Linked DNA regions of Xenopus tropicalis. The protein of the gene in region 2 interacts with the protein of the main gene of each other region in a pairwise test. Links are inferred from orthologs where the notes say so. Each region holds a gene or a part of one and is shown on either strand. Other genes may lie near its edges. The genes, in order: ltv1, bysl and stx11.

Evidence for each region.
Region 1: the proteins of bysl (region 2) and ltv1 interact in binary tests that used the Homo sapiens proteins (3 or more experiments, as listed by UniProt). The two-hybrid records come from large-scale screens. The link is inferred for Xenopus tropicalis from reciprocal best matches to the Homo sapiens genes BYSL and LTV1.
Region 3: the proteins of bysl (region 2) and stx11 interact in binary tests that used the Homo sapiens proteins (3 or more experiments, as listed by UniProt). The two-hybrid records come from large-scale screens. The link is inferred for Xenopus tropicalis from reciprocal best matches to the Homo sapiens genes BYSL and STX11.

The regions. Positions count from the first base shown.
Region 1 is NC_030681.2:64,491,949-64,500,132, reverse strand, and holds part of ltv1 (protein LTV1 homolog), read right to left. Parts: intron 6,370-8,184; coding exon 6,181-6,369; intron 5,241-6,180; coding exon 5,153-5,240; intron 4,336-5,152; coding exon 4,203-4,335; intron 4,102-4,202; coding exon 3,867-4,101; intron 3,436-3,866; coding exon 3,308-3,435; intron 2,813-3,307; coding exon 2,676-2,812; intron 1,824-2,675; coding exon 1,771-1,823; intron 832-1,770; coding exon 631-831; intron 132-630; coding exon 18-131; 3' UTR 1-17. UniProt on the Homo sapiens protein: Essential for ribosome biogenesis.
Region 2 is NC_030678.2:70,759,697-70,767,977, forward strand, and holds the start of bysl (bystin), read right to left. Parts: upstream 4,389-8,281; 5' UTR 4,371-4,388; coding exon 4,112-4,370; intron 2,998-4,111; coding exon 2,835-2,997; intron 1-2,834. Other genes in the region: med20 (mediator of RNA polymerase II transcription subunit 20), read left to right, coding at 4,535-4,548. UniProt on the Homo sapiens protein: Required for processing of 20S pre-rRNA precursor and biogenesis of 40S ribosomal subunits. May be required for trophinin-dependent regulation of cell adhesion during implantation of human embryos.
Region 3 is NC_030681.2:45,303,690-45,311,973, reverse strand, and holds the start of stx11 (syntaxin-11), read right to left. Parts: upstream 4,837-8,284; 5' UTR 4,782-4,836; intron 4,641-4,781; exon of another isoform or gene 4,616-4,640; intron 4,338-4,615; exon of another isoform or gene 4,313-4,337; intron 1-4,312. UniProt on the Homo sapiens protein: SNARE that acts to regulate protein transport between late endosomes and the trans-Golgi network.

The DNA.
Region 1 (8,184 bases), on a different chromosome or scaffold from region 2:
TCCAGTTAATAAGTTTGTTAAGATAACTTAAGTCCTTGGAGATTCTGTTTAAGGTTAAGCTGCTCTTTTACTTGTCTGCCTTTTTCTACTTTGAAGGCTAGTTTATTGGATTTCTTTTCCACTCTTCGTTCCTGAAGAAAGAAAGAACAGTTATTAATAGGACATTCTCTGCATGGGTTATACACACAAGGAAATTCAGAGGGAATACATTTTGTTTATTCTAAGTACAGTGAAGTCCCTTCTGCCTATTTAAATGTATACACTGTATTAATGTTCTTCTCCTCAGTGTAGTATAAGCAACAGTGCTGAACCCTACCAAAGGTAAGCACTTGGTAACCAACACTAAAAATTGTAACTGAGCTGTACACACACTTAATGCCCAAGTACACAGGGCACAGGTACTAAGCACCCCCCCCCCATATAATGCATCTAATACATTTTACTAATAAAGACATAGTTAATTATTTCAACACAGTTGTATATGATCCAAATCTCTACCACCTACTGTAATAACATTAAAGTTAGATGGTTTGAAAAAAGGCTCAGTTATGAACAAAACAATTCTTTTCTATTTAGGGTCATTTTTTTACATAGCAAATGTGTTAGAATTACAAACAAAATATTACTTACTTTGCGTTCTTCTTTAATTGCTTGTTTTCTAGCTTTGCGCTCTTCTTTTGATTCATCTTTGGGACGTAGCTGTGTTGACACTCTGGGAAGATCACTATTGTTTATCATTTCCATTTGTTCAACCTGCTTGGCAGTGAGTCCCCTTGCCGGAAGAACATCCAGAGGAATACCAGTTTTTGCAGATACCCGTATTAATTTTGCCTGCAGGAAATAAATTACAATTTGCAGTTTTCGAAAAATTCAGCTTGCTGTTTATGCCTAAATGTATTCAACAATCAGAAACTATACTTAAGCTGTAACACATCTCTTCCGTGTTCAGCTAGGTCTAGGGATTTGCAACTTATGTATCAGCATTTTATGCACTTGCATTTCATGTCATATGTTTTAGAAAAGTTGTTCCTTTTCATGCATCAATATATAACATCTTTGGGTACTGGTAAGGCAGTTGCCTTCAAAAGCTGGGAAACTGGAGCGTCTACCAGAGGAGTATCAGTCCATTCTTCCAGGGTTTCCTTGGAGAATGGGTACAATTTTTGTTTTTAGTTTAGTAATTTGTGTTCAGGCGCGTTCAACTTCTCCTGGATAATGAACTGTAATTGGTCATGCGCAGGAAATACTAATGAACGGTCAGTACCCAGACAGAATAAACCTTTTGATTTTTTTATCCGAGGACGTGGAAACCTCAACCTGGTCTGCCGAGAGAGTAGACTGATGGAGAAAGTTCACGCTCATTGAGGGGTTTCTCCCTGGAGTCTGAGGGAGAGGTGTGAACAATGCAGAGGGGCCAGTTAATCTCAGTATTAATACAATTTAAAGTTTATACTAAAGTAAGTAGTCGCAGCAGCCAGACAGATGGGGGTGGCAGCATGGGCCAGATGCGGCCTGCCAGTTGGACAGCACTGATCCAAATAAATGAACAATAATTACACATATAAATACATCAAGCTGCTAGACTGCTTAAAGTGATTGCTCACACACATTTACACACAGAGAGAGACTAGAAATACAACTGCAAGGCTTGAAAGAGCCCTGTCTGAAGCAGTATGGCACTATTATCATTGTGACCACCAAACTAATAACAAATAATTTTTGTGCTAAACATTAATAAAAATTAAAAAACAGCAAGGTTCATTTTCTTACCTTGGGTGGATCCTTGATAATCTGTGGATGATTGTATAAATTAGAGTATGTACCTTTAAAAAGGAAAAGAACCTAATTACATTTCAATGTGACATATGACATATTGTTCAAGATGTACGCTAAAATGATTTTGATCAGTACACATACTCTTGCCACTGATCTATAAATTGCCATAAGATAATTTCCAATCCGCCAATATTTAAAGGGCTTTTAAGGTATACGCCTATCTGGGATTAGTATTGCGGTACAGGTATAGGACCCGTTATCCAGAATGCTCGGAACCAAGGGTATTCCGGATAAGGGGTCTTTCCGTAATTTGGATCTTCATACCTTAAGTCTACTAAAAAAATCAATAAAACATTAATTAAATCCAATAGGATTGTTTTGCATCCAATAAGGATTAATTATATCTTAGTTGAGATCAAATACAAGGTACAGTTTTATTATTACAGAGAAAAAGGAAATCAATTTTAAAAATCCTAATTATTTGATTATAATGGAGTCTATGGGAGACAGGCTTTCCGTAATTTGGAGCTTTCTGGATAATGGGTTTCCGGATAAGGGGTCCGATACCTGTATATACAGGAACAATTTTCACTCTGCTTAAATACAGATTCTAGCTTTTAACCAAAGTATGGCGCTGTGATGTTCTGTTACTTTTTCTCCAGTATATAAAAGGGTGAAATAGAGCTTGCAACAAATTACCAGAGGAAAATTTCACTGTTCTTTATTGACTTGTATAGAATTTTCAGGTAATGGTGTGTTTACCAATCAGTGGTTGAAATTTTACCTATTTAGAAAATATGCACTTTCCCATTTAAGTAAATATGATAGCTGGGAAATTACTCTCTAGTGATCAGTGGTGAGCACTAAAGTCCGATATCCTCAGTTCTTTATAGACTCACTCAAAATAGATTCACAGTCCCATTTTTCTCTAGGCTCCTCAATAACTAAATTTTGCATATCTTCTTTATTATCTTCATCTTCCTCAATTACTGAATCCATGCCATCTCTAGGTGTCAGGTTTTTCAGTTTCACGCAGCTGCAAAAGGAGTATGTATATCAATTAAAACTATATTTTAACTATCAAAATGGAAAAAACAACTTGCCATGTTAACCTTATAATCTAAACGTTGTAGGAAATACAAGTTTATAGACAGTACAAAAGTGCAAATAAATGCTATAGACATCTCATTTTCAGTTCCAGGGGCATAGCAACAAAACAGCAGGCTTAAAAGCTGCTGGATGGCCAAGGAGTAAAGAAAACCAAATGACAGTCCAGTCTAAACAGTGTCCATAAATGTGGGTTGATTTATAAAGGTCTCCAACCAACCAACCAACATGACATCGCTCTTCAAAAAAGTACCCCTGGCAGGTGTTTTTATGCAGTGGACAAGACCGCACCATTAATCATTTGACTCCAGTGACCCCACTGTATTAACATTTACTTTACCCAAGATCAGATAGTATTGCAACAGTATATATGAAAGTATCTATTTTGAAGGTGTAAGTGAACAGAAAATAATCAAAAACATACTCTTTTGCTTTTTGCTTGTGGTAATCATTTATTACTTCTTCCAACCGACCACTGTTTGAGTGAATGAATCCTTCCAATTCTGTGTTATCCAAGGCTCCAATTTCATCATCATCAAACTGTTCATAAAACTGAGGATAAAATATAAAATTATTCACCTCCATTGTTTTAAAGAAAGTAAAAAATTAATGGAAATACACTGTAGCTGTTAGAAGAACTACATTTGTTTTACCCATCCATTTGGCAGATAGGTAGATACCAAGTGGTAGCTACCTACACTTCTGGTAGCTATCACTTGGTAGATGCCAAATAGATGGGTAAAACATTGAGCCTGGAAAACAAATTTAGTTCTTCTCTTGAAGAAGAGAGTCATGATATATATATATGACTAACTAGGTTAAAAAGAAAAAGCTACTTTAATAAACCAAAAATCAGATCTAGGACCCTAGAATAGTTGGAGAATGTCCTGCTTTCACTAAGCATAAGCTTCTAATTATTAAACTACATTTGTTTCTTATCATCATTGAAAATATGTCTGTAACTGGTTAGATGATTTTCCAACCTTTTCAAACCTTTCATCAAGAAGGGTTAGTTGCTCATTTCTCCTAATAACAGAAGATGTCATGGAATATTCTGTAAAACGACTTTTTGTTTCCTCTTGCATAAACAGAAACTCTTTCCTGGCTCCTTTACCCTCCTCATCATCATCCTCATCTGAAACAAGTCCATCTGAATCATAGTCATTTTCTTCACTCTCAACATCCTCCCAGTCATCATCATCTTTTTCATGGGATGATCTGCAACCATGTAAAGAAATGTATAGATGTATATGCTGTGTAAATATACATCTATGTAAGGCAAAAATAAAGATAACTAAGGAGAATAAAGTTTAGAGTACCTCCGGAGGTCATCACTATTAGGGTCATTAGCCTGTAAGATAAAGTCATCATCCAGCTGATTCTCTGGATCGCCAAAATTAAAATCATCATCCAAAGCTGCTACAATATCTGGATCCAGGTCAAGACACAAACCTAAAGGCAATAAACCAAAAAGCTAATCGGCTTGCTTGATTGGGCACATGTTGGCCTGGCCAACAACAGCAAATATGTGTCAACCATTATTTTATTTAAACTAAACCATCTGCTATAAACTTATGGTTCAATGAGATGTAGTTTTTGCAATGTTTCAGAGGATGGTATAAGCTTCTCAGGTAAAAAAAAAAAAAAAGATTCATAGCCTCAGAAAGGAATTTGTTTCCTCTTGAGGCAAATTGGAGATGGCTTCAAATTTTTCATCTTCCTCTTTATCAACTACAGGTTGGTGTAACTGCGCTTGAGGGGATTTGTAGGGTTTTGATGAACCAGGGGTTTGTTGCTCTTTTATATAAGGACAATACTCTAGAAATCTCCTTCCAGTGTGCCCTGTCCTCTCTACTAACAGAGGCTTATCACTAAAAAATGCAGGCTGTTTTGGAGCATTATGTTCCTGTAACTATAAACTCTCTTAAGTCAAATTAAACTCTTCCTTTTTAGCTTTTTGTAATACTTTTCCCGGAAAAGGAACTGTAAAACAAAATACTATTAATTGCTTCTAAGAAACTTAGTTCACAGTAACCTGCATATGCCATAAAATGGCAATTCTCACCGATTTTGTCAGTTAATTTGGGAATTTCGTATCTGCAAAATTTTTTTTTTCCATGACATAAGTCAAAGAATTAAGGGTTAGGTGTATGTTTTTTGGTTATGCCTTGAAAGCTCATCAACTATTATGAAGTGGACTTAGAACAAAAATAAATGTGGGGAGGAAACTTAAAACTTGGGGCAATCACTTTGCTGTTAGCAACCTTACCTCGAACAGGAGCTGCTTTATTTAACAATCCAACATCTTCCTCAAATTCAGATGCAAACACAGATGATGGCAAATTTATTGATGGACCCTAAATAGAGATGAGAGAGAGAGAGAGAGAGAGAGAGAGAGAGACAGAGACAGACTTTAAATACATTTATGCTAAAAGATTTACTACAGTATGTGTAAAAATAGTCAAAAACAGTCATTACAGTCATCCACATTAATACACATTACTGTAAGTCAGTGCTAGAGCTCACATTTCATTGGCAGATACCATTGACAACATTTGCAACTGAACACAACAATGCCTTTTATCTATCTGAGCTGATAAATAGACTGAAGATAATCTGAGAGAAGAAGTGCCTCTATGTAGTGAGCTTAACAAACATCCCAACTTAAGGGCTCTGGCACACGGGGAGATTCCCCGAAATGCCATCCCACTGATGAAAATGTAAAGCGCCAATGGCATACGCGGCGCCGCGACTTCCCTGAAATTGTGGAAGTTGCCTTGAGAGGAAAGCAAGGCGACTAATCTCCCCGTGTGCCAGAGCCCTAAAGGGTATTTTATGATAGGGTTCCGAATATATTGTACTGTGCGCACAGCCCAATGATGCAAAAAGGGATCAACTATTATTAATGTATTAGTGAACTGCACACAAAATCAGTAATTGTCACCAAAATTATGCCTGCAACCAGTCTTAAGACATATTAAACAGGAGGTGACTGTGCTGAATGGGTACTAAAATACAAAAATGAAAAAAGAAAGAGAAAAACAAAGATCTAGTGAAAATCCTCATAACAAAAGAGACACTGTGCCAGCCCTGGACTACACAATTATAAAGTGAAAGGTGTCTAACACAATAACACCCTTAAAATTATGTGTTTTCTTCTCCTTTAATGCACACATGGTTTATCGTATGCAAACTTTAATTCTCCAGGTTTGTTATAGAGGCACCAGCATCTGAAATGCAATGTCAACTCTGGCTGCCATAAACATATGAATGCAATTAATAGCACAGATGCCATACGGGAAAGCGATGAGGCTCCTCTTCTATGCCACTCTCCCGAGCAACGATAACGCAACTCTTTGACTTGCTGGTCTCAGAGGAAACAAGTTCTAAAGGGCCTCTTTCTTTGAGGTGCTGTAGGTAATTATAGTCATCGTCAAAAAAGACTCCAAAATTTCTCTGTTCTTCTTTCCTTTTTTCTGTTTCTACCTGCATAGGAAAAGAAAAAAGGCATAAGTCATTGTAGCAGTAGTTCTTAACTTTAGTACACTGTTCTTCTTTAGGGCCGTGGCAGCTCCGCATATGCCATCCCACTGACTATTTACATTCTAGCTGGTGGGATGGCATATCGGGGAGCTCCCCATCTATCACGGCACTTAATCAAGAGAGGCCAGACATGTCTAGAAAATGAAATAACTCTGAAATGATTGGTTCAATCAATACACTGTTCTTCAAACAAGATAGCCCATAGATATGAAATGCAAAATTATCCAGCTAATGTGAACTGTAATTTATAGCATTATCCACTAGCTTTCTGGGAAAAACAATATCCAGGGATGCATAGAGATTTCTGTCTGTAAAGCAGAGGCCAGATTATATTTGGGAATATTTCTTTAAATGTATTTATTATAGTACACGATTTCTGAATCATATGGGCATGCTAACAGATTACAAAAGAGAATGGTAGTGGTGCAGCCATTGAATAGAATTCTAAAATATGTTTTAAAATTTAAATTTTGACTAGATTTCTAGATTTTGCCTCACTGCTGGTGCAATCACTTGAAAATCAGAATCAGTAAGTGAGGCTATATTTATATAGACGAAAGTACCTGTGGGGGACTGAAAAGTTGCGGTCTGTAATGTTCCTTTTTCATATTTTGCAACAAAATGTAATTTTTTTCAAATAATTTAAATCCTGTGAGTGCTGACACTTTTTTCTTATATATATTATATATATATTATATATATATTATATATATATATATATATATATATATATATATATATATATATATCCCTACAACCGACGTTTCGGTCCCTTTTGGGACCTTTTTCAAGGTATCTATTCGGTATTCCGTGCACAGGGGCAGCTACATTGTAGCAACTTTCGGAGTGTCGTATATATATATTATATATATATATATATATATTAGTGCCAGATTTATATCTGATGCTGCCCTCTGTATTGTATGTAGGCATCAAAGAGGACTACCCCCTCTTTCACCTGCTGCAGCCTGAGGGCTTTTGTAGAAAAAAAATTCTGTATAGCCACCCAAAGATTGCTAATTATGTTAAAAGGTCAGGCATGCAACTGGTATTTAAACTACTTGTTTGTGTGACCCAACTGGCAACATAAAATGAACACTTAAAGAAATATTGATCAAGAAGTTTGGAAATTGTTTTGCAAACCAAGTCTTGCATTTAAAATTTTATAGAAAGGGATACCTGCATTCCAGGCCAATAACTCTGTTACTAGTTACAAATCAAGTTTACTGTTTTTTCTACAAGAAATTTGCAGTAGTAGGTACAACATTATATACAAACTTAACCCAATAAGTGTGGGACTAGGGATGGGCCGAATCCAGCCTTTTTTTGATGGATTTAGTTTCGGCCGAATCCACGGTCCCGGCTGAACCGAATCAGAATTAACATAAATTAGCATATGCCAATTTGCATTCGAAAATGGCTAAATTTTAGGGGGGCTTTTTTTTTTTAACCCTTCCCAGTCCTGATTAGCATATGCTAATTAGGATTCGGTTCGGGATTTGGCAGAATCAGTCAGGGTGGGTTCGGTGCATCCCTATGTGGGACAGTAGAGAAGAAGATGTATCTATTTGATATGTATCTTTGCATGGATTTAGTATTCAGGACAGCACTTCAAATGAAAGGTAATACTTCCCAATTTTATCCTTTGTTAATAGTCTGACTGTCCCAGGAGAAAAACGGTTCCTGAATCTAGTACTTCTTATTTTAATAATAACTGGTCTCCTGCTGCTTATGCTGTAATGTGTTTCTGCCATCTGA
Region 2 (8,281 bases):
TTTTTATAAATACAGGTGCCTATAATCATGCCTATTTTTGATAAACTAGGCACACAATATAGCAATCTTAGCGATGTGGTACGCACCTACAAATGCGCATGCATGAGTGATGGATTCTCATGTGCTTTACAAGCTGGAACGCATAAACTATTGTGCATGCGCCATTTAGAAATACTGGCGCAAAAATCTGTTTCCGAACATAGATAGACTAGAACAGCGGTTCTCAACCCTTTCACAGGGGTCACCTAAGACCATTGAAAAACACATATTTCCGATGGTCTTAGGAATAATTTTATGTTTGGGGGTCACCACAACATGAGGAACTGTATTAAAGGGTCGCAGCATTAGGAAGGTTGAGAACCACAGGACTAGAACATGCTGAAAAATTTTTTTTTTACATTTCTTTGCAATTTTGCACATATTATACTTATAGCAGTATTTACCCCGATTAAAGGACCAAAATGTTAGGCACCCCCAAGTGACTTTAATCGCCTACCTTCTTCCTGCTTCGTGAGCGCGCATGCACAGTAGAGTGAAAAGCCGAACTTTAACAGAGAAGTCGGCTTTTCACTCTACTGCGCATGCGCCCACCGCATAGTCACAGCTTAACGAAGCAGGAAGGAGGAAGTGCATCGCTCCAGGTACCCCGGGGGCTGGTGCTGTTTTCTCCTAACAGGGGCACCAGCCCGGGGTACAAGGTAAGCGATTAAAGTCACTTGGGGGTGCCTACCATTTTGGCACCCCCAAGTGACTTTGCCTTTCCTTGTCCTATAAGTTGGTTATAGTGATTTTCCAACAAAACACGTTGGTATATTGTGGTATATTGTTGCCAGAGATCAGCCCAAATATTCCAGTAAGGCTGCATTGTTAAACTATATCTAAGTAGTACTGCTGAATTGTGGGAGAAGCAGCATCTGGGCCTAGGAACTACTGGTGAAGTACAGCCAGAGAATCCCCCTTTTTCAAACACTGCATGGTTGAATACCAATGCTACCAACACTACTAATACTGTGGGACTAGCAGCATCTGGACCTGAGAAGTTTTGTGACACGTCTTCTAGTCTCTGATGCCTTGTAAGTGCAATTTTAACTTGTTTTGAGCTCTGGACTGGTGGTTATAGATGGGAAGACCAGTTTCTCTAGTAGTGGTGGGAAGGAGAGCAGAGCTAGGCCTAAACAGATTGTGGTTATAAAGGATTCAATTATTAGGAAAGTGGACAGGGTTATCTATCGACTGGATCGCTACAACCAGACAGTATGCTGGTTTCCTGGTGCTAGGAAATCAGCATACTGTCTGGTTGTAGCGATCCAGACAGTATGCTATTTTCCTGGTGCTAGGATTTGGCATGTGGTTGATCAAGTTGACAAATTATTGGGTGGGGCATGACCCAAATGTCTTGGTACATATTGGTACTAATGACAAAATAAATGGTAGGTGGAGGACCTTAAAGAGTGAGTTCAGGAACCTAGGCTCTAAAAAAAAAAAAAGTCCTCCAATGTAATTTTTTCTGAAGCTTCGCCTGTGCCACGTGCAACGTTTAGGGAAACAGCGGGAGCTTTGGGAGCTAAATGTTTGGCTGTAGGGTTTGGGTTCCTAGAACACTGGGCTGACTTTTCTTTGGGGTACAATCTATACAGCCATGACCGATTGCTCCTTAATGGAATGGGGGTCCATTGTGCTGGGGAAAAAAAATGGCTAAGAGGCTGGAGGAGTGTTTAAAAAAGGCAGGGGGGGGGGGGTTATGGGAAAGCTAGTGTAGATCTGGCAGTGGGATAAGCAAGGATACATACATTTTACCAGCTAAGGAGATTCCTCTGTTACATGGAAAACCCCTAATAGTAACCTCAGATCTAACTCTTAGTTCTGTAATGTAAATATTAGAGGGAAAAATAGTAACCTCCACGGCATGCTGGCAAATGCACAGAGCTTGTCAGGGAAATTAGAAGAGCTGGAGTCTATTGAATGTACTGACAATTAGGATATAATTTGTATCACTGAGACCTAGTGAGATGAAACAAGTGACTGGGCTGTGAATATACATGGTTACACCCCTTTTAGGAGGGATAGAGGGATTAGAAACAATGGAGGGGTTTGTCATTATGTAAAGCCATATACTAAAGAAATTAGCAGAGACAGCAATTCAGTTTCATTTTGCTCTACTGGTTGCAACTATAGGTAAACTAAGCATTCATTCACACTAGGGATAAATGGGATGACTCAAAACCCACGAGAACCAAGCCCTAGAAGCGGGTTTAAGAGGGTGGCAGGTAAAACTGCAACCAGGTGATGTATTAATTCTAACCCATCTCCTGTGGTGACTGGTCCCACCCATATAAGAGTCATCGGAGAAGAACCACATAAAAGTTATAGTAGAAGCTGGGTTGGAAAACAGCAGGTTAGGGTTGAAAATGTTATGAATCACTCATCACTAATTTGTTTTTATTCAAAATCATCTTTTGACTAAAATGTACATATCCAGACCTGTTAAATTTCACAAATGATAGTGTATGGATAAAGTTCCGTAATCTTTGCTATAAAGTATTTCTATTAATGATTATTTTATTCAGGGGCTGGCCAAGCCGACCGGGCACCCTAGGCAACCCAATTGGCCACCCTGCACCCCACCTCTCATGTGTGTACATGAGAAAGTGCACTGACATCCCGGGTAGGATGCGAGAAAAGCAGCTGGGGCAATAGTGTGTGTACTAGGGGGTAGGCAGAAGAGGTAACTGTCACACCCCCACATCGTTGCTCCCTTCTGACTACCCCAAGTTCTGGCCCGGCTTTATTTGACCCATGTAACCCTTGGCGTCTCCAGATAGTTGCTACTTTACCTTAGTGGAGGGTTCTTATTCATAAACATTTCCATTGCCTTTTCATCTTCAGGGTTAATTTGTACCTCCTCGTTGAGGGTACCTTTCTCCAGACTGGCTGCCTTCTCCAATGAAGGCCACTCATCATCTTCAGAGTCTGAACCCTCTGCTCTGTTCTTGGAATCTGAAGGGCAAGGATTTACAAAAGATAATGATTGATTTGCCAATATACAAGCAAAGATAAATATGAAGAAATAATGACCTCTAATTTGTAAATAAGTTAATTCAGACTGTACTTAGTGAATGCTACAAGGTCTGTTTCTGTGGAGCACCGGTTCCAAACAATTCCCAGGGTAGGCCCAAGAGAACATGAAATATTTGTAATGCGAGTTAAGGGTCACAGTCTGAATACATTTAGTGCATGTTAGGCTATATTACACACTTTTTGTTCTAATTACAGCTAGTATAACTGAGCATACTGTACCTTGTCATGGCTAAATAGAACTAGAAAGCAGCACTGCCTGTATGGTACCTTTAATTTAAAAAGGGTCCTAAAAACATTTTTGATAAAATCAAATCTTAAAAATTAAGATGAAGGTGCAGTGTACAATCCATTTTTGCACACATGATTCCGGTCTTTTATAACATATACACTAAAGTATATATGCTATGTGGAGTATAATCATTAAAGGAGAATGCAAGTCAAAATTTAAAAAGCATACTGCCCAATAGTCCTCCTATTGTTTAGTAAAAATGCCACACTTTTGGCTCACCTAATCAAATATTTACTCAGTCACACTTACTTCACATATTCTAGAACAGGCAGCCATCTCTAAAAAGGTATTCTCCCTTCCTTTCCCTCCTTGCTTCATACTGCACATGTGTTTGCATGGAGATGCATCAGCATATAAAACAGCACATTAGATATCCTTCATTTTATCACAGAATGAAGTTAGCAAATTATTTATGTACAACTTTTCAAATATTCTTATATGTGTATGACTGTATCATATTATATACCTGGAATGTTCAATTTGAACCAGCTAATGAGCATTTGAGCATTTCTTTGGCCCCCAGTAGACTTTTTTTGCATGGCAAAATTTCAATATAATCTGGCCCTAAATGGATTACATTAATGGATTATTAAGACTGTCCCATACTCGTTTCTATGTATTTACAACTACAGCACTAGTTGTTGGTTATGACTCAGTCTAAAGACTCCCCACTGATTTTATATACCGGTTTAAAAACTTTTGTTTTGTATTCTGCCTTGGAAATGTTTCTTTACCCTTTTTTACCTAAAACAGTTGTCCTCTCTTTAGGGGTCACATTCCCCAGACTATATTCGGCCTCCAATTCCTCCTGCTGAATACGGGCCTGCTCCAGAATCCTTCGGGACAATTTCTCGTCCACGTATCCATCATCTTCGGCGTCGTCTGTAGGTTTCCCCTTGCGCTTATTACGGAACGAGGGTCTAATTTCTCCCTCCTGTTCGATCTGATCAGCTAAGGGGAGTAAGCGAGAAGCAGCTCCCCGAGAATTTTTGTGCTTTGGCATTTTCCTGACATACACGTGCATAGATCCACACACTGCGCATGCTCCTATTCCCCTGGCATCGTACGCCTCGATGTGGGACTTGCGTGAACCGCAAATAATGACAACAATTTTGAGCGCCGTGACGTCATAACACGTCGCTGTGTTTTGTACAATTAAGTACCAGCATGGGAGTGACTTGGTAAGTGTTTGTCATTTTTAATGTAGTAGTAGAAAAAGAAGAAACGTCATTTTGATGTTTGCAGATACGTGTTAACTTCTGGATTGTTTTTATCTTTTGTAAACTAAGTTTACGCTTACTTATTTGCATGACTGCTGCTTTGTTAATTATAGAAAAACGGAATCCTACGAATTCAACACTGCAGTGCAGTATCACACTAAGAATGCTATGGGTAATAGGGAGACAGTTAAAAGATATCCTTTTTTAAAAATCAACACTGTAAATATAACCTGTTGAAAATGTATTCTGCCTCTTATTTTCAGGATTTTTTTTTGCCTTTGTTAAGGAATAATAGAATTTTTTAATGATAATTTTGAACCCCCAATAGCGTTGCTGGTAAAAAAAAAAATGTGCTGGATGCCAATGTTATTAATAGGGTATAAAGTTATGAATATAGGAAGACTGATATACTATACCAAAATATATCTGTCTTATGTTTATCTTCCTTTCTTATAAATAACATTAACAATAGCCATGATTTCTTTTTTTGCCTAGGCAGCAACCATACTTCCTATTGCTGTATGATTGCCTTCAGCCTGCATCCTCCAAATGCCACCATTGTACATAACCCACAATGCATTGGAATGCTCCAGGAAAAGAAAATCACAGTAAATTGGATATAGATTTTCTCTTTTCCTGTTCACATTCTCATGGCAGTCCGCACAATTGGGAGGGAACATACACATACCAAATGCTGCAAAATACTTTACTTTTTTATTCAAAATCTGCAGAAGCAGAAACATTTTTTAATGCTTCACAAAAATATTAGGACACCTCCAAATTGCTGCTTTGAAAATCTTTTCTGGTGACGCTAAACCTTTGAGTGCCCATGATGCTGCCATACTGGATACATCTTACAATATACATGCCAGTGTTTGCTTAGCTGCACTGGTAATATGAAGAGAGATTTTGTTTTTCTTAACTTCTTTGCCCTCTTTAGAGTCATCTTAAAGGAACAGTAACACCAAAAATGTATATATTTTAAAGAAATTAAACTATAATGTACTGCTGCCCTGCACTGGTAAAAGTTGTGTGTTTGCTTCAGAAACATTACTAGAGTTTATATAAACCCTGCTGTGTAGACATGGGGGCAGCCATTCAAAAGAAGAAAAGGCACAGGTTATATAGCAGCTAACAGATAAACCCTGTAGAATACAATGGTGTCTTATCTGTTATCTGCTATGTAACCTGTGCCTTTTCTCCTTTTTTCCTGCTTGAATGGCTGCCCCCATGGCTACACAGCAGCGTATTTTTATAAACTATAGTAGTGTTCCTGAAGCAAACACCCCAGTTTTACCATTGCAGGGCAACAGTACATTATATTTCAATTACTTTAGAACACTTTCATTTCTTGGTGTTACTGTTCCTTTAAGACATCAAGGTTGTGCCAACAGATTTCTTTATCATTCTGCGGACAAGCAAATTTATCTTCCTAAAATATTAACAAATCTTCTGAAATATATAGTTCCTGGAGTTTGGACACTCTTCTGGCCAAGGTTATGGCCAACAAAAACACAATTTGTTAATTTTAAGGAATGTCCTGAATAGGTTGAAATGATTCTTTCATGAGACTTATGAGAACCAAAGGTAAATCCAATCGTCGAACACTTTTTCTGGATTGATATGATGTGAACCTTGAAGAAACTGAACTATCAGAGGATTTGTAGCCCATTTAGTTTCATTAGGTACTGATAATGGCGTTACTTGTCTCTCATCCACTCCACTTTGCAAAAATTCCAGAATGTGGTTAACCTCAGGACATAGGCAGATTATAGTCCTTACTTTCACACTACTTGAAAAACACTTCCCATACCTGATGGTAGCTTTTTCTTGTGGAAATTTTCCTGGAATATAGTTCTGATAACTTAGTATTTGGGCATTGTAGGAGGTTGCCATCAAATCCATTGCTCTTGGCCCGCATCTCTGATCGATCTCCTGAAAGATGCTGTGGTTCAAGAAATCTAAAAAACTTGTTTTTCCCTGGAGTAAAGACTGCTGTTATAGACCGGAAATTTACCTCTGCCCACAGGAACAATTTTCAAGATAAGAGAATTGCTCTTCGTGCCACCCTGTCCACATACTGGACTGCTGTGCTGTTGTTGCAGAGGATTATTTCTGCCTTGCCTTTCAGCTCTTTGAAAAATTATCTCCAATGGGAAAAATGCCTTGAGAGCTAACCAAAATGCTTCCATTTTCCTTTGACTGGACAACCAAGTCCTCTGGAATCAACTACATATTCCCTGTCTTCACAGAGTCGTGTGTGGACTGCCATAGGAATGCAAACGGGAAAGAAAAGAACTGTTTTGCATGTGGATTTTAGCATATACAAATGGTATTCATATGTTTTTAAGGAACAGATTACAGTGATAGGTATAGTAGGGGTTTTTGTGTTATGTGGGGCTCTTTAAAGGAAAACTATACCCCCAAACAATGTAGGTCTCTATTAAAATATATTGCTTAAACAAGCTAATATGTAAAAGCCTGCTTCATCTAAATAAACCATTTTCATAAAAATATACTTTTAAAGTAGTATTTGCTATTGGGTATTCCTAAATAGAAATTTGCCATTTTAAGAATTAAGGGCCGCCTCCTGGGATCATAGGATTCAAAGTGCACACAAACAAGCCACAGCACACATACGTGTTAGTTGACATTAGCCAATTAAAGGACAAACTTCTGTCTTTTGCTTTCACACTTCTTCCTGTTACAGCTAAAGCTGCATTATTTCTGGCCATGTGATCTCTGAGGGCGCACACAGCCAATCACAAAATGGTGGGTCAAAGGAAAAGATGTAAAAGGACAATATTTACTCAAATATATATATATCAGTTTGGTGAGAAGTGTTCATCCTCGTGGTATACATTTTCTTTTTTTCAAATTTGGTTCCCTTTCAACATAAAGTTATAAAGTACCAACATATTCCACATCACTCATGACAAGGACCGTTGTGACTACAGTTGTCCCAGCCCAGAGGTCCCACAGTTGGAAATACCTGGAACAGAGGGTTTGGATCTTTTTCAGCTGTTTCATTTAATACATTTAGCCAAATTGTGGCTAAAACCACAGAGCCCCATCATTGCAACGATTGTTGAGGCAATTGTGCTCAAAAGTCCTTGTGGCAGCCCATACTAAAATGTGAGAAAGTGAGTTTCAATAGGGAGTCCAAATCCTATGACTCTGTGCTGGAATATACTGAGTGTTGCCCTGCAGCCAAGGATCTGACAGATACTTAAGGTGGCCAGCAGGAATTTGGGGACTGCTTAAAGGTGAAGAAAAGTCATTTTGGCATTTTACTGTCAATAGAATTGCCACATTAGTACCACCTAGAACACTATATTTATTCTGCAGAAAGCATTACCATACCTGAGTAAACAGCCCTAGAAGTTCCCCCCGTTTGTTTAAGACAGCAGCTGCCATTTTAAGTAGTTTCCTGCTTGCAGCTCTAGCCGTTGGTAGCTCAGATCACACATTCCTAAGGGAGGGGGGGAGGGATTTCTTAGCATTCTTGTTGGAGGTGGGAGCAGGAGAGAGCTGTGCAGACTCTGGCCCCTGGAATAAGGGATTTTACTGAGAGAAGAAGTCAGATACCCAAGAACATGTTTACAAAAAAGGAGACAAAAAAGAAATCCTGTGTTTCTTTTAATAGAGGACTCCATGCAGCTTTTCTGTGAGTGCTTATGGCTGTATTTACAGC
Region 3 (8,284 bases), on a different chromosome or scaffold from region 2:
GCAATAACAAACATCTACAACCTTATTATCCTCACCATGAAGAACCATCTTTGCTGCTTTGAATGAAAGTTTAGTTTCTCAACTCTTAAGGGGTGACTCCTGGTTTGTTTATCTTTTCTATTGGAAAAAAATATCACCCACTATCTATTTAGAGTGTCCTCTAATGTACTTGTAAGGAGTAATCTTGTCCCCTCAAAAGCACCTCTTCTCCAGAGAAAACTTCTCCAACCATAACAGTCTTTCTGTCCATTTTACCAGTTTAGTTAACATCTCTGCACTCTCTCCAGCTCATTATTTTCATCCCTTGAGTTAATGCTCTTCTTAATGCATGATAGTACTCAGGGCCGCTATCAGAAATCACGGGGCCCCTCACAACAAAATTTCTGGGCCCCATCCCCCAATAGCCCCTCCCCCAGTGACCCCTCCCATCAGTACAAAGGACACACAGACATTGGTAGCCAGGGCCCCCCTAAAACATTAATAGCCAAAGGTTACATTTTGCATTGGAGCCAGGGCAGGGACCCCCAGTGTCCCCATACTATGGGCCACTCCCACTGCAGCATCCTCCAGCTCCCTCCCAGCGTCCTCCAGGTCCCACCCAGCTTCCTCCCCAGCATCCTCCAGCTCCCCCCTAGCATCCTCCCCAGCATCCTCCAGCTCCCCCCTAGCATCCTCCCCAGCATCCTCCAGCTCCCCCGCAGCATCCTCCCCAACATCCTCCCCAACATCCTTCAGCTCTCCCCATCGTCCTCCTCAACATCCTCCAGCTCGCCCCAGCGTCTTCCCCAACATCCTTCAGCTCCCCCATCATCCTCCTCTACATCCTCCAGCTCCCCCCTAGCATCCTTCAGCTCCTCCCAGCATCCTCCCCAACATCCTTCAGCTCCCCCCAGCATCCTCCCCAACATCCTTCAGCTCCCCCCAGCATCCTCCCCAACATCCTTCAGCTCCCCCCAGCATCCTCCCCAACATCCTTCAGCTCCCCCAGGCGTCTTCCCCAACATCTTCCAGCTTCCCCTCCCCAACATCCTCCAGCTTCCCCTCCCCCTCGCCTGCCCGCTTCGTCAGGCTGCGTTCCCCGTCTCTTCTTAGGTCCCACGTTTTGCTGCTGCAGCTACTGTTTTATTAGGTTGCGCCCCGTGTGTACCCTTAACGTCAGCATGCATGGGGCGCAACCTTATAAAAGAATAGTATAAAATTACCCGCTGACCACCAATGAAGTGAAAATTTTTAAAGGGGGCCCGTGCTTAAAAACTGTATCATGGCTGGGGCCCCTTTAAATCCACGATCCTCCGGGCCCGGGACAACTGTCCCCCCTGTGCCCCCCTGATGGCGGCCCTGACAGTACTAAATTTGCTTAAGAAGCAACTAAATGGCACTGCCTATTGTTACACAGTTTGTTATTCACAAAAATTCCCAACATCCTTCTCAGTTAAGGAAACCTCCAACACACTACCATCTAGTGTATAACTTGCATTTGTTATTTCTACCAAAGTGCATAACCTTGTACTTCCCTATGTTGAACCTCATATGCCAGTTTGCTGCCCAGTTCTCCAATTTAGTCAAATCACTCAAAAAAAAAAATCACTCACTGCAAAGTGGCAGCATCCTGCATTGAACATATAGTTTTGTACAATTTAGTTGCATTAGCAAAACAGAGTACCTCCAATGCCCATGTTAAAAAGCAAATGGCTATGGCCCAATTAGAAATTGCTCCATTTACCACCACTCTTTGTAATCTATCCTTCAGCCAGTTCTTGATGTGCATTACATTATGTTCCAGACCAGTACTACTGAATTTAATTAGTGACCTTCTGTGTGGTACTGTTTCAAATGCTTTATCAAAATCTAAGTAGGCCACATCCACTGCCATCCCAGAGTCTAGGTTTCTGCTTACCTCTGGAACAAACACACAGTATTGTGATATTCAAGTATTGTCTCCCTTATTATCCCCTCCAAAAGCTTAAAACCATCAATTGTAAATGTTAATATTGCTCCAGGGCCAGCCTGGGACCAGCCCAGATGGCCCTTTGTTGGTGTTCCCAGGGCCCTTATTGTTCTGTATGTTCCTGAGCAAAGATTGGGCTTCTTATTTCCAATACATTTGTCAGCTCAACTTCCTCCAATCCTCTGTAACTAAAGATAATTCTGACATCTAAAGAGATACTGACATTAGAAATTGAATCCTTTTTACATAGCATAACATTTTCTTTGCATGCTTTTTAAAGTATTGACTTAAAAGTATTGGCAAAACAGTCAGGTTTAGGAACTTCAAGTAAAAATTACTTACAAAAGCAGAGCTATCAGAGCAAAACAATCAACATGACCTATAGATAACTTTTAATGTACATAAATAATCTGGAGTAGTTTTTTAGTGTCAGTATCACTTTAACTTGATCAATGCCATTGGCACCAAAGCAAAGATCCCAATTTTTTGCTGCCACCTGCTCACTACAGCTACATCCACCACAATGCAATAAGGTTCTAGTATTTTGTCCTCTATACAACGCAGCACAAAATTCAAAAAGTGTTTTCTGTTCACCTGAATATAGTACAGAGCACCACAGCCTAAGTGTACCAACACTGCTAGAAGCCTGCTATTATTCACTCTCTGAGCAGCTGGTCGATTCATTTCCTAGAGAGTGTTGGGCTGGGCATTATGCAAGTTTGTAATAAGCTGAAGTTCTTATTTATGGTGATCCTCCAGCCTATCATAACATTTATCCTTCCTCAGTCCAGAGTGCTTAAAGGGGACCTGTCACCCTAAGAAATAACTCCAAATTATTTTCTATATTGTTAGTTGAGCAAAATGAACTTTACTTACTCTATATAAATAATATCAATCTTGTTTCTTTCCGTCTTGGAATTACTCAATCAAAGCAAGCAGGCAGGCACCATTTTGTGGACACTGTTATTAAGGCAAGCTTGGTATCATGCCAAAATCTTGTTTATATGCCAGAATGGGGGACCTGATGCCCAGGCCCTTGCACTGGCTACACAATTAGATGATGAGGAGGGAGGGGAAAAGTGAGATGTGCAGTGACATCTAGGTAGTGCTGAACGAAAAGCTAAAGTTATTGTCTGCCCCGCCTCTATGCCTAAGGCATAAAGGCGGGGCAAGCAATATATGATTGACATCTGGGATTTTTAAATGCCTCTATAATGGGTTTGGATGTGTTAATATAAAAATGAATTTGGGTTTCATGTTTAATTTGAAAAGGACTTTTATTATACAGCTTTTTATGTCTGGGTGACAGGTCCACTTTAAGAAAATGCAGGAACCAAAAGGGAACCACATCAAAAGATGTGTGTGTTATCAGTTGAGGATATGTCAGTAAACACAATGCAACAGGGTTCCTTTGATGATGGTTATAAATTCCTTAAATAATATCCAAGTTGCACAAGCTCTCCAGCATCAATGATTCTGCCTTCCTTTATGATAAAACAGTCTTTTTCTCTACATAAATACATGGGCATGAAAGTCAGTTTGTCACTTCATCTAAGCTTGTGATCGCTATAGAGGTTGTGCTGAATGGAGCTAACCATATTTATTTAAACCTGCAGAATATTCCATATGCATTTTACATAGCTTCCTATGGTATAAATCAGATAGCTGGATTGTCACTCTTAGATGGTGGGACAGAAGCTAACAGATGCCAGAGAAGATTCTGTGATGTCATTTTATTACAGGTCTCTGCTTGCAGCATAAAGAATATTCTGAAGCTGCATTCTCAGCCTGTCTGCCCTAATTGCTTACTAAGTTTAAATCTCTTCATACAAGGCTAAATATGAGTGTTTGGCCAGGGTGTCAGGTATAACCTCCTTAAAGGCCAGTTTACCCAAAATGTGCTAGACTACAAAGCAAAAAAACATTTTACAAATGGTTTAAGTATAGTGGGAGCTGTAGTCCAGCAACTTCAGGGTGTGTATGCTAGTTCACAATAAAAATCTACCCAGCTTTCTAGGACCAGTGACCCAAATTAATATGCAAAGTAATCCTCCAATAAGAATCCCTTTGATTAGTCTCCATGTTGTTTGTTTTGTCACTGTAATTGGAAGCTTTAAACAAACCTTTTCTATGGCAGAACTACACAGAAGAGCATCCTCCCTTGTGATGCTACAGTGTGATAACATAACAAAATGACATAATGCTGACAAACAGCAATCTCATTGGTAAATTCTCTTGCATCAGTAATTAGTCATGTACTTAAGAGAAGTAAGGGACACAGTGAGAAAGTTTACAACCTCTTTAAGCTCCTTTCTATTTAACCTGCACATTTCTGATCTCCTACACTCAGAATCATCCTCTCACCATTTATGCGCAGTCTCGGCCACAAACCTGTCTGTAGCTCGCAGGCCACAAATTAAATCATCTTCCTTACAAGAGCTTGAAAATACCCTCACTGGTGTATAAAAAAGGAGTTTGCTGCACCTGCACAAGCAAGTACTGTACTACAACTCCCACAGTGCCCAAACTGCTGCTATATTTGAACTACACAATTTCCCACAACCTTGTGACAGATTACTGTAGTACAAAAAGGGCTGAAAAGAGGGGGCAACTGAGGACTAGAAACATATTATTATTGCCAAAAGGAAACACAGGGGGTCTTATAACCAAAAAGGATGCTTGGCTTCCACACTGATGGTACAATGTACAACCTTAACAGCACAAAGACACACTTTCACAAAAAGAAGCACAATGTTTCTCTAATCATCATAACGACACAAGTTTACAGGGTAATTGGCCCATCTCCAGCAGTCTGCCCCAGTTCAGCACACACCTTATTTTCCCAATCAGGTTCAGCTGCGAACAACTCCTGGCCAACAAAATGAACTGAAAATTCTATTCATACAAAGCAGCTATATAAAGCCCGGACGGGCTGATTGTTTCTGCTTCAATTTGTAGTAATGGACTTTCTATACGATTATGCAGCACATTATTGCTACGGCATCACTTATTCATTCAGGGGTGTAACTATAGAGAAAGCAAATGCTGTGACTGTTGGGGAACCCAGGAAATATGGGCGCCCAGAGGGGCATAGATTGATAAACTCAGTCTCAGTATATTTTTATAAAAAATACATTATTGCCAAAGTGGCAAATGACTTTGTTATGGGGCGCAGAAACTTCAAGTCTCCCCACTGACCTGTCTGTTAAACTTTCTGTCACTCTGAAAGTCATGTGTTTGATTATCCTTTATATCAGCCAGTCTCGGTTATCATGTTATATACTGTCAACCTGCCCTGTGCAAATTGTCCATCAGATAACCAGTTCTTAACAGTGTCTAAGGAGCTGGCCCCACAGGAAAATGCACCTAAAGCAACAATGCATGCACTTACCTTTAACCAACTGCTGGGTATAGGTGAACTCTTGCTTTGTAGCTCCTTAATTCTGTATTACAGAGCTGGGAAACTTTTCAAGCTGATTGCCTTCAAGCCTCAAGCCATGCCCATGCTGTGGCACTCACACAGCCTACTTCCTCTTCACTCACAGCGAGCAATAGACAGGCGGCTGCTGCTGCTGTTGTGCTGCTCAGTGGGAGGTGAAGTGTCAGAAGAGGAAGCAGGGTGAGCACATGCACCATGTGAGTAAGCAGGAGGTGTTTCCATCTAAATGAGAAGCAGATAATACTTAGAATTTCTTTATTGGAAAAGAAATGATTCAGAAAGAAACCTCCAGGAAAACATATAACTACTCTGTAAGTTTTATCCACACAGACCTGGCCCTTAAACATCCCTCATCTGCCAGATTAGTCCAGTCCATACTTTTATACCATACCCTGTAGCTTTTCTTTTTAAAGGTTTTAGTATAAAATAGCCAAATAAACATACATGTATTTGATTTTTTTTACATTAATGGTGTGGGGGATTCACAAAGACAGGCACCTAGTGTACACTGGTTCTGTAATATATTTCAACCAAAGGCACATTAGGCACAATCAGTTAAAGCATTACATGCAGGATTATGGAATGTCCCTTTTACACTATATATTTTTTCTTTAGAGAAATTTTGATATATTTGTGCCCATATGCACCCCCAAGGGTGGCCCGTGTGCATGCCTGTCCCCTGACCATAGGTACGTCTGCGCTAGGTAAGGTACGGATCTATTCTTCGCAGAACTGCCTTCAGGTTAGCTTTTCTAATGTGTGACCTGTGCTGCTGCTGCGTGAGGTACCACAAACAAGGGGTGTGCATGGCAGTTTTTCTTTTTCTGTACAGACATGTCAACTCACACAAGTTTTCAGGTTTCACCCTATTTTTGTTTCTCTCATCTGGTCACCAAAAGTAGCAACCCTAGCCAGATTCTACTGCCTGTACACTGAACAGCAATATTATACCTTATAAATGATATATGGTGGTTTATAAATTGTTCATATGATGTGTATGTCATATAATGTGTTTCTACAGGGTGCCATTTACCCCAGATGGCCCTCCTTCATACTATAAGTACTGACATGCTCAACAGGAGCTGTTTCCTTCCTGGGGTATTTATGAGATTATTCACTTCACACCTTAGTAACTATCTGACTGAACCCTGACTAAAAAATTTACACCTTCTCTGTTAAAGTCTTATATGGTTATGTAATATATGTAATAATGTAATAATAATAAAATGTGCAATGTTTGCCTCAGGTCTAGTCACCTATAGCAACCAGTCAGCGGGTGGCATTTACTGGTCACCTGTTTTAAGAAAACATCTTTGTTTTATGCATGTATATATAAAACATTTTATACCTGATTGTAAAATGAAGGGACTATCAGTTTATATGTATGTGTATGACATAGCTACATAGTAGTTGTAGTAGAAAACAAAACTAGACTGGCTCTCAAGCTCAACCTTGCAAAATGTGTTGTAGTCATTATTGATTAAGGCGCTCTTGAGATCTACAATTTTCTCCTTACACAGCCTTACATATCAGCACCCCTCAGTGAATGGGGCTTTTCCCAAAAAGAAAATAACATGTGAACTAATACATTTCTTCCACCCCCATCCATTTTAACTTTGGTTTTAATAAGAAATATGCGAGTTTCCACTTTTCTGTATGGAAAGCCCTGAGTGTTTTCTTGTCATTTCACTATAGCTATATTAAGTTATGTGACGCCTGCAACCTGAAGTGATTCATTTATCGTATGTTACTCCCCCCTCCCACTAGCTGCTCTTCTTAAAGTACAATGGTCTGTGGTGATTGTACCACCTCCTGGGTGGAATCTCCCTTTCAGTTCATGGGAGGATGCAGTAAGGTTGCATGTGATGTGAAAATAAAGTAATTTACTAGAAAAAAAAATACAATTCCTTGTTCAAGGAAATGACCCTGAATTTAATGATCTGAGAGACCTTGAGAGTTCTTGTATCAACACTGGGCATTTTTACACGTGGACAGTAACTGATGGCAGTCAATAACGTTTAGCTTTCATTGCTCTTCCTGCTATTGGCTGAAAAAGTTACTGTAATTACTAATTGGTTGTTATGGATCACTGAGCAGTTGCAAGTTTTCCCAGTGTTAGTAAATGAGCTTGCAGGGCAGAAAATGCCAAGACTTATACTTGTACTTGATTGTCAAGAGGTAACTTGGAGTTGAACCACTTTATTCCTGTCAGTGATCAGCACTGTTTAACAATAACAAGTTCTTCTTTTGTTTAAAAAACAGTTTGGGGAATTTGGGGAGATTTGATGCCAGTGAGAATTATGTGGTAACTGCGAGCAACAATGCGCCAGTGTGAATTTGCTGAACATATGAATCATATCATCAATGCTTACACAATTCTCATGTTTTACCTCTGGCGATTCACACTGACACCAGTGCTAGGGTATATTTAGGAGATTTGTCGGTAGCACAGATTTCCCGAAAAATCTCCCCATTTGCCATAACCCTTAAAATTTCTACATGTGCTATACAGTGATTGTTGAGAAACCCACAACACCCCACTCTCTTTTGTACCATTTTGTAAAAAATAGCAAAGTACTATAATAGACCTTTATGCGTAAGATAGCAGCCTACTGTGACCCTACTGTGGGATAATTTTTACTACTGAACAAAAGGAAATTAAATTCAAAGAGCCAAATGCACAGTCCCACAAACAGGGGCTGAAAATATCTTCACGACATTCCCAAATTGAGAGCTGCCATTAGGTATCTTGGGAATCCATATTCTCCCCCTTGGCCACCCCTTCCCCCTCGATGGTGGCCCTGTTTAAATACTGGGACCTCTTCTCTCCTTACTAACACACTGCATATCCCCCCACCTACCCTCAATTTGCCTACGAACCAACCAAAATTAAGTAC